Linked DNA regions of Canis lupus familiaris. The protein of the gene in region 2 purifies or fractionates together with the protein of the main gene of each other region. This does not show direct contact. Links are inferred from orthologs where the notes say so. Each region holds a gene or a part of one and is shown on either strand. Other genes may lie near its edges.

Region 1 (3,619 bases), on a different chromosome or scaffold from region 2:
GAAGAACAAAGGGAGCACCTTAAAGAATGTGAAGGAAGAAATGCAGCCTGGACTGACCACTGGTTGTTCTGTGTTGATTCTGTGGCAGGGTCTGAACTCTGCAGGTCTTCCCCACGGCTCAGGACGACGAGGAGCAGTGACAGGCCAAACTACAGGAGACAGAGGGAATCCCACTCAGCACCGCACCCAATCCTCCAGCACCACGGACAGGGTCCCAGCATCAGACCCGGAGCAGCACTGCATCAAGGTGGCCCTACCGCTGTGCTGTGGGATTGGCAGACTGGGGCAGCCGTGAGCTGGGACGCTGCGTCTTCCTCCTGCCTCCACTTCAGCAGAGCAGTGACGGCACCATCAACGAAAGGGCCAAGCATCCTCCCTGCTTCCCCACCCCAAAGTCAGATGAAAAGGTAATTTTTCTCTGCCACAGATAACATGGGACTTAGTGTTTCTTTTACTAAAACAAATGGATTTAAAAAGAAAGTCAAACTCTGATACAGAAAACTAAAAGTTCACAGAAAAAGAAAAAAAACATTTAATAGATGAAGATATTTTGAATAAAGACAAAAGATGTGAAGACCAGTTGGAAAATGTAAACAGAGAGGTCACTGAAATGATGAGGGTATGAAAAGCTTTCCTTGAGTCTCCTGAGAAAGTTTCCTGAACAAAGGACACACCTGCTGGGCCAACAGAGGCAGAGAAGGACTCCGATACATCACGTGTCTGGGACGGTTAAGATTTAACAACCTGCCGCAGAGACTGAAGATATGCCCGATTCAGTAGGCAGTATCGGTGGGACACGCATGGTCAAGGGGCACAGAGTGGAATACGAACAGGAACAAGGGGCAGGAAATAACATATATGGAATCACAGAGACAGGGGTCTGAAGGGAACCCCGGTTCCCGAGCTCGCCTCCCAGAGAACCCTCAGGTCACCGTCAGAGAACAACACTGGGATACATGAACCATCTCCTGTCTGACCACATGGTTTTCTGCTGCCCTTATCGATACTAAAGCTCAGAGACCACGCACCATGGGAGGCCCACAGCCTGTTACCTCCCAGCCCCTGCTGTACCTGCCACCCTGGAGTCCTGCCCTGACAGGGTTCCAGATGCCGGGGGGGAAAGGGCCTCGACACTCCCCATTCCACTGTGCTTGCACACATGCCCACCGGGACAAAGGCAGCACACTGAACCATCACAGCGCTGAGCTCATCGGAGCAACAGAGCAACAGGACTGCTCTGAATCGTCACCTCCCCGTACAGCCGTGAAGTGAAACTGTGCTCAGCGTCACAAACCTAGCGTGGGTAGGAAACAGAAAGCTGTCCAGAAAGTTCATGTCTCCTCTTCTGTGTTACACTCCCCCTGGGAGCCTGATGTGTTTTCTTCCTCGTGTTCGAATTAGGATTTTACCTGAGATCACAACAGTGTGAACTAAGAGGTTTCCCAGCCTTCTCTGCAGTTCCATGTGGCAAGTGAGGAAACCCTGGCCACTGAGATTAAGTAGAAGTCGCTGGTCAGAACTCCTGGAAAAGGTGCCAGCAAGGCAGCCAGCTCTCTGCACGCACCTTCCTGACACAGTGGAGCTGGAGTGGTCCTGAGCGTGGCAGCCACTGCTTAGGCTGCAGAGCAGGAAACCTGGGGGGCCTGCACCCCTGATGCCAGGTGGACACTGTGCCCAAGCTACTCTATGTGAGATACAGAAAATCCTATTTTGTTGACACTAGGAGCTTAACATAACTCCTGACTGAAAGAAGCTTCTAAGATTGATTTATTTTAGAGATAGAGAAAGAGCGAGAGAGTGTGCGTGGGGCAGAGGATGGGGACTGCGGCAGACCATGTGAGTGCAGAACCTGACACGGGGCTCGATCTCACAACCCTGAGATCACGACCTGAGCTGAAACCCAGAGTTGGCTGCATAACCTATGGAGCCACTCAGGCACCCCTGAAAGCAGCACCAACATGTGTAACTGAAATCTAGAAGGACAGGAGCACCTTGTTCTGGAGCACAGCAGCGAGGTGAGGGTTGGAGGGTGCTGGTGCAGCTGCGCTCTGAGGTAGGTTCATGAGCTGTTGCAGAAGGCTGGTGACAGTCACTGACGGAAGGTGATACAGGAGCAGAGAGAAGGGATTCAGTAAGCATGGCAGCACCTATGAAAAATAAAGAAAAGTGTTACATCCTGGCAGCTATGGCTTCATGAGCCTGTGTCAGCAGGCGCGGACGGGAGAGTGCTCAGCAGCACTTGGACAGCCTCAGGCAGATTTACCACAAAAGGGCTGACATGTCTAGCAGGTACCACCAGAGTCTCAACAGTGGGTTCTGAGATGTCTATGGACAAATTTTAAAGCTCAATTTGCACAGGAAACAGGATTCGTATCCACCAAGGGTGTAAAATCACTTCTCAAACAGCATGACTCATGGTAACACATTGGTACTTTAACCCATTCCACAAACACTTCCATGCCTACCATGTGCCAGGCACCGGGGCCCCCTGTGAAATGGTAAACAGGACAGACCTGCAGGCATCTAAGGTTGCGTGGGGAGTCACAAATAAACCGGCAAATTCAATATACCATGAGGAGGACTCTAAGACACATAAGTTCTGAGTGCCGTGGAACTATCCAGAAGTGTTTTCAGATTTAATTAGATCTTGTCTGATCTTTATAAAGCTCAACAGGAAGATAGAGAAATGATAATCTAATTTTTCAGATTAGACAAGCCAGGCCAAGCGAGCAGAAGCTCAGTGCTGAGAGTTCCATAGCTAGAAGAGACCCAGAATCCAAGGCTGTTGAATTCTGGCCTGTGAGTCATTCAGTTCTTTTAGCCACAAGGCCCAGGTGGCAGAGGTCAACAGAACCAGGTTCTAACACAGGAGAGGAACCAGGGTGCTTCTAGCACTCACTGCCCATGTATAAAAAGTGACGGCATTCAAGATGGAGAGTGGACTTTCTGTTACCTACTACTCTGAGTACACAATGCTTTAACAACAAAAGCAGTTTTAATCATACATAAAAGTGTAAAGAGTACGATGAAATCTGTGTGCCCATCACTCAGCTTCAACAATTAAATCATCAACATTCATATATGTACTATGGAATATTACTCAGCCATCAGAAATAAATACCCACCATTTGCTTCAATGTACGTGGATGGAACTGAAGGATTATTATGCTGAGTGAAGTAAGTCAATCGGAGAAGGACAAACATCATATGGTTTCACTCATATGGGGAATATAAGAAATAGTGAAAGGGTGAAATTCCCTGGGAATTAAATAGTGAAAGGGACGCCTGGGTGGCTTTGCGCTTGAGCGTCTGCCTTTGGCCCAGGGTGTGATCCTGGGGTCCCGGGATTGAGTCCCACATCGGGCTCCTTGCATGGAGCCTGCTTCTCCCTCTGCCTACGTCTCTGTCCCTCTTTTTGTGTCTCTCATGAATAAATAAAATCTTTTAAGAAAAAAAAAAAAAAAGAAATAATGAAAGGGAATATAGGGGAAAGGAGGGGAACCGAGTGGGAAATATTAGTGAGGGTGACCGAACATGAGAGACTCCTAAGTCTGGGAAACGAACAAGGGGTAGTGGAAGGAGGGGGGTAGGTGAGGGAGGTTAGGGTGACTGGGTGACG
Region 2 (5,272 bases):
ACCAAGTAAGATGCTTAACTGACTGTGACATCTAGGCGCCACAAGATGTAGGAATTTTGAGTCATGACAGAACAGATCATTTATCAAAAGTTGGCAGTAAAAGATTAAAGTGAAAGACTGTTATTAGTGATTCTAAAGTGCTAATCAGGGCATCTACATAGAAATGTCAACAGGGAGTTGGAAATATAAGGCTAGAACGTCAAAGAGGTCAGAATTAGAGGAATTTCTGATAGGTCTACAAAGAGGTGATACAATTATAAAAGTCCAGGAGCTCTCCTAGAATTTTAAAGAAAAAAGCACGGGGCACCTGGGTGGTTCAGTTGGTTGAGCAGCTGGCTCTTGAATTCAGCTCAGGTCATGATCTCAGGTTCCTGGGACTGAGTTTCATGCTCAGAGGGGAGTCTGCTTGGGCTTCTCTCTCCCTCTTCCCACCCCCTAAAATAAGTAAACAAATCTTAAAAAACAAAAACAAACAAACAAAAAAACAAAAAAAAAGGCAGACCAAAGATAGAACCTAAGGGGCCACCTATTTTAGGGAACAGTTAAGAGTTGGAGGAGTGAGAAAATTAGCAAGTACCAGTGCTGGAGAAAACAAACAAACAAACAAACAAACAAACAAAAAGAATTAAGAACCCAGTGGTATTAGTATCACAATATTACAGAGGAGAGGGAAGAACCCAGAAGAATGCATCAGATTTTGGCCTTTTAAGAATGCAGCTTCAGTGTGATGATAACAAAAATCAGATTGCAGGTATAATGGAGGTGGTCTACTGCAGGTGGTCAGGAAGTAGAATCAAAATGGAGAGGATTCAAAATGTTAAGGGGTAGGGGGATCCCTGGGTGGCTCAGCGGTTTAGCACCTGCCTTAGGCCCAGGGTGTGATCGTGGGGTCCCGGGATCGAGTCCCATGTAAGGCTCCCTGCATGGAGCCTGCTTCTCCCTCTGCCTGTGTCTCTCATGAATAAATTAAAAAAATTTTAAATAAAATGTTTAAAAAAATGTTAAGGGGTAAAGATATGAAAAAGGGATGGGAGTTTGATGAGGAGACATAAGTGGAAAAAAAAAAGTATGAGATGGACAGACAAGAATAAGAATATACATGAATGGAAGGATCCAGGGAGAGAGAGAAGATACGAGAGAAAAAGGGCATTAATGGAAGAAATAGGGGAAGAAAGAATAATAAAAGACCACAGACTGAAAAGGAATACCTCCTACTCAGATGAGAGGATGGGTGCATATGCAGAAAGACTGAGGAGAAAGGAGGAAATTGTGTGTCATTGGGGGGACAGCGAAGGGTACATAAGGAATGGTTTCAAACTTTTCAGTAAAGGAGGGGGCTTGGAGTCTACAAAGAAGGCGTTAGAGGGTTTGAGAACAAAAATTATTTTTAGTAGAACAGCAGGATTTATTAGGGGCTTCATATAATTCAGATACATAAAATGAGAGGTGGGCAGCCCCGGTGGCACAGCGGTTTAGGGCCGCCTGCAGCCCAGGGCGTGATCCTGGAGTCCCACGTCAGGCCTCAAGTCCCACGTCAGGCTCTCTGCATGGAGCCTGCTTCTCCCTCTGCCTGTGTCTCTGCCTCTCATTCTCTCTCTGTGTTTCTATGAATAAATAAATAAAATCTTTAAAAAAATAAATAAAATAAAATAAAATAAAATAAAATAAAATAAAATGAAATAAAATAAAATGAGAGGTGGGGGCAAAAGGGCATCCACAGACAACTAAAATTGAATTTTTCATTACATATTACAGGTGGATTTGTGCAATTGTTATTTATATACAAATACAGTCCAATTCACACTACATTTTCTTTCAATAGCAAAATCACTAATTTGGATTTATTTACTGATTTGTTTTTAAAGATTTTATTTATTTATTTAACTGAGAAAGAGAGCACAAGCAGGGGGGAACAGCAGGCAGAGGGAGAGGAGCAGCAGGCTCCGCTGAGCAGAGAGCCCCATGTGGGGCTGGATCCCAGAACTCTGGGATCATGACCTGAGCCAAAGGCAAACACCTAACGGATTGAGCCATCCAGGCGCCCCACTAATTTGGACTTAAAGAATGATTTCAGACAACGAAGAGAGTATGATCACAGACTCACATTTTATTATTTTTTTAAAAATTGTATTTTGAAGTACTCTCTAAGTAACCCAAAGTGGGGCTGACCTCACAACTCTGAGACCAAGAGTCACCTGCTCTACTGACAGAGGCAGGCAGGCGCCCCAGGGACTCACTTCTTAAATTTGCATACATAATAACCGTGATTGTTGTAACTTGTTTGGAACTGTGTAAACCACTTTTGCAGCAATTATAAGTTAATGAGACAGACCACAGGATTTTAAAGGATTAGAAAATGTTGCTTGAGGAGTAATTCACAGAAGAGAGCTTAGAAAGGGACAGAGAGGAGTCTTTCTTTTGCGCAGGACCGAACTCTTCTTTAGAACAACGATGGGGAGAAAAGGGAGGTCTTTTTAGTACAAGTAAGAGAAAACCGTCGAACAGAAAAATAAGTTTGAAGTGATTCAGCCTTTCCAGAAAAGTCAATACCTTTGTCTGAAAGTGCTGAAGAACCTGACGGTAAAAGGATATTGCAAATGGCTACACAGCATAAAACCTGCGTTTACTGCCAATTAAGTCCAACCGCTGCTATCTTTTAAAACGTTCGTTTCTTAACGAATCCTTTCTCTACTCTCATTCGTCTACCAGTAACAAGCTGGTACTTCGATATATATTGCAGGTGGGAAAGAGTGGACGTGGGGAGGGGCAACTCTGGCGTCTGGGTCTTGGCAGCCGCGTCCCTCCAAAGCAGGAGTGAATTCTACAGCTTGTGGCTTATCGGCCCACGGGCTGGTGGAGGCTGCGAGACGCAGGAGAGAGGCAGGCGGCTAGGAGGTGGACAAATGGAGTGCCTGAGGCTCTTCACTCACGTGGAGCATGTCAACGCCGAACAGCCAGAAGCGTGCTAAAAACACTCCCCCCGCCCCAGACTCCTTCTACGAGCTCCCCCTGAAGAGGTGTCCGCCCGGGAGGAAGGATCTCACCCGACTTCACGCAGAGGAGATGAGCTACTCACTGTCGATGTCCTCTATGAGGCTGGCGGTACCGGGCATATAGTTCATTTTGAGCTGAGATAAGGCTGCAGAGTATAGCGGCGGCGGGCCAGTGCGTCCAACACCTCCTTCTTTCTGACCGCAGTCGCCGCCTCGGCGGGACCGGGACAGGAACCCGGACCAGGAGCAGCACGTCCGCCCCGGCTTTCAGAAGCCGGGGCCTGCCGGAAACGCCTCCATATTATTCCCACCCACTTCCGGTATCACGTGCCCGTCCTCCGGAAGAGGCGGGACTGGCGCGGTCCCGGGACACCCATTCCCCGCCCCCGGTAAAAGGGGAAGAGGAAGCTAGATTGACTAGATGGTAGGGAAAACGTAGTCTCCCTTTTAAGAAACGCAGGGCTGCAGCTCGTCCTCCAGCTTCCCAGACAGCCGCCCCCCGCCTCCCCCGAGGCACGGACCTCCGTCCCACGACTCTCGGGACTCGCCGCCGAAGGGGCGGGCCCGAGCCAGGATTGGCTGCTGTCGGCCGACCCCTCTCCCTGCTCTCCAGTTCCTCTCGTCGGCGGGCGCTTGCGCCATGGGCTGGCCGTGGGGGGCGGGAAGCGCTGCGGGGCATTAGAGCCCATGTCGGCCTTGAGGCGCTCGGGCTACGGCCCCAGCGACGGTCCTTCGTATGGCCGCTACTACGGGCCGGGCGGGGGAGACGTGCCCATGCACCCGCCTCCGCCCTCGTATCCTCCTCGCCCTGAACCTCCCCAGCCTCCCATTTCCTGGCGGGTGCGCGGGGGCGGCCCTGCTGAGACCACCTGGCCGGGAGAAGGCGGAGGAGGGGATGGCTACTACGCCTCTGCAGGCGCCTGGTCAGAGAGCGGTCGAGCTGGAGGAAGCCACCAGGTAAGCTTCGGGCCATCTGTCCCAGGGGGGTTCGATAAGGGGAGTCTTTGGAGGGTGAGGGCCGCCGGGGTTGATAAGCCTCTGGAGTTCGTAATGGATTGGGTTTCATGTTTATTTTGCTTATGGGGGGTGCGTTGGAGAGACAGACGGGGTTTGTGGCTGGAGGGATATGCTTGTGTTCTCTGCGTCTCCTTCTTCGACCATAATAAATGTGTCTGCTACCATTAAAAAAAAAAAAGAAGAAGAAGAAAGATCCTCCGCTGACTTGATAAGCCGAGTAGCAAGGTGCGGAATCTCTCGCCTTGGGTTGACGTTGGGCTGGAAAGCTTTTGGAGCTCTAACAATTTATCCTGCGTGGCTCATATGGCCGGCTCTTCCCGAGAAGGGAGGTGGCTGCAGCCCCCGCTGCCACTCAGCAACCCCTCCCGACGGGAAAGAACCCTGCATGCAGGAGGAGGAGGGATCGGGCATTTAGCCCTTTGCCCCTAACGCTTTGTCCGGGGTTAACTCACCAGTAATCAATGTTGGAAAGCACCTTTACTTGGATTGTTAAGTTACGTTGCGGTTGCGACGTAAATGCCATTACAACCTCTCTCTTTTATGATTTAATAGTTGGCCCCTGAGAGGTTAACTCACTTGGGCAGTAGAGGTCTCCCTGGGTTTTTGAAGGTTCACTTTATTGCCACTTGGTTTTTTAGGAAGGACCTACATTAGTGCCTGTTTTTACTAACTGCAAGGAATCTGGAGAGGAGTTTGGCTTTTAGGAAAGAAGCTGAAAAGTGAGAATAGCTTCAGTGTTTGTTTTGCAGCAAGCAGTAGTAGAGGCAGTGCGCAACTGGGCAGTAAGAGTGGCACCGCCAATCTCCTTCCCTGGGAACTACACTCAGCTTCTCAGCATCACACTGCCATTACTCTGAACTGTGTCTATGAGCCTCTGGGCTTTATCTCCATTTATTTTGTGCGTTTGTTGGCAAGATATGTCCTAAGGTATCAGAAAAGCCTAAGAAAGGTTATTTGAGGAGCCTGGGAATGCTGAAACATTTTTCATAAAAATTAATGGTAATTGCTTCCCCCCCCCCCTTTATGCCATTTTGGCTTTACAGAAGATTTCATAGGAATGTTCTATTTTCAGATAGCAGGGGAAACCTCTACAGTCGGACTTATAACATTTTACTCCTTGTGTTCCTGTGGGAAATATACTTCTCTTTTGTTAATTAAGTATTTTTAGCAGTGAATTATTATGTGGTTGAGGGGAGCACACCTCTCTTTCCATTCAGTAATTAGAACATCTTCATGGGTTGAAAATGTAGTAGTGAAATGCC

Evidence for each region.
Region 1: the proteins of LSM1 (region 2) and PATL1 purify together in Homo sapiens (co-immunoprecipitation; 3 studies listed by BioGRID and IntAct, with this or other methods). This does not show direct contact. The link is inferred for Canis lupus familiaris from reciprocal best matches to the Homo sapiens genes LSM1 and PATL1.

Annotation. Positions count from the first base shown.
Region 1 is NC_049239.1:37,567,179-37,570,797, reverse strand, and holds part of PATL1 (protein PAT1 homolog 1), read right to left. Parts: intron 2,148-3,619; coding exon 1,992-2,147; intron 150-1,991; coding exon 58-149; intron 1-57. UniProt on the Homo sapiens protein: RNA-binding protein involved in deadenylation-dependent decapping of mRNAs, leading to the degradation of mRNAs. Acts as a scaffold protein that connects deadenylation and decapping machinery.
Region 2 is NC_049237.1:28,040,192-28,045,463, reverse strand, and holds the start of LSM1 (U6 snRNA-associated Sm-like protein LSm1), read right to left. Parts: upstream 3,506-5,272; 5' UTR 3,418-3,505; coding exon of another isoform or gene 3,415-3,417; 5' UTR 3,123-3,414; coding exon 3,077-3,122; exon of another isoform or gene 2,498-3,076; intron 1-2,497. Other genes in the region: BAG4 (BAG family molecular chaperone regulator 4), read left to right, coding at 3,681-3,950. UniProt on the Homo sapiens protein: Plays a role in the degradation of histone mRNAs, the only eukaryotic mRNAs that are not polyadenylated. Probably also part of an LSm subunits-containing complex involved in the general process of mRNA degradation.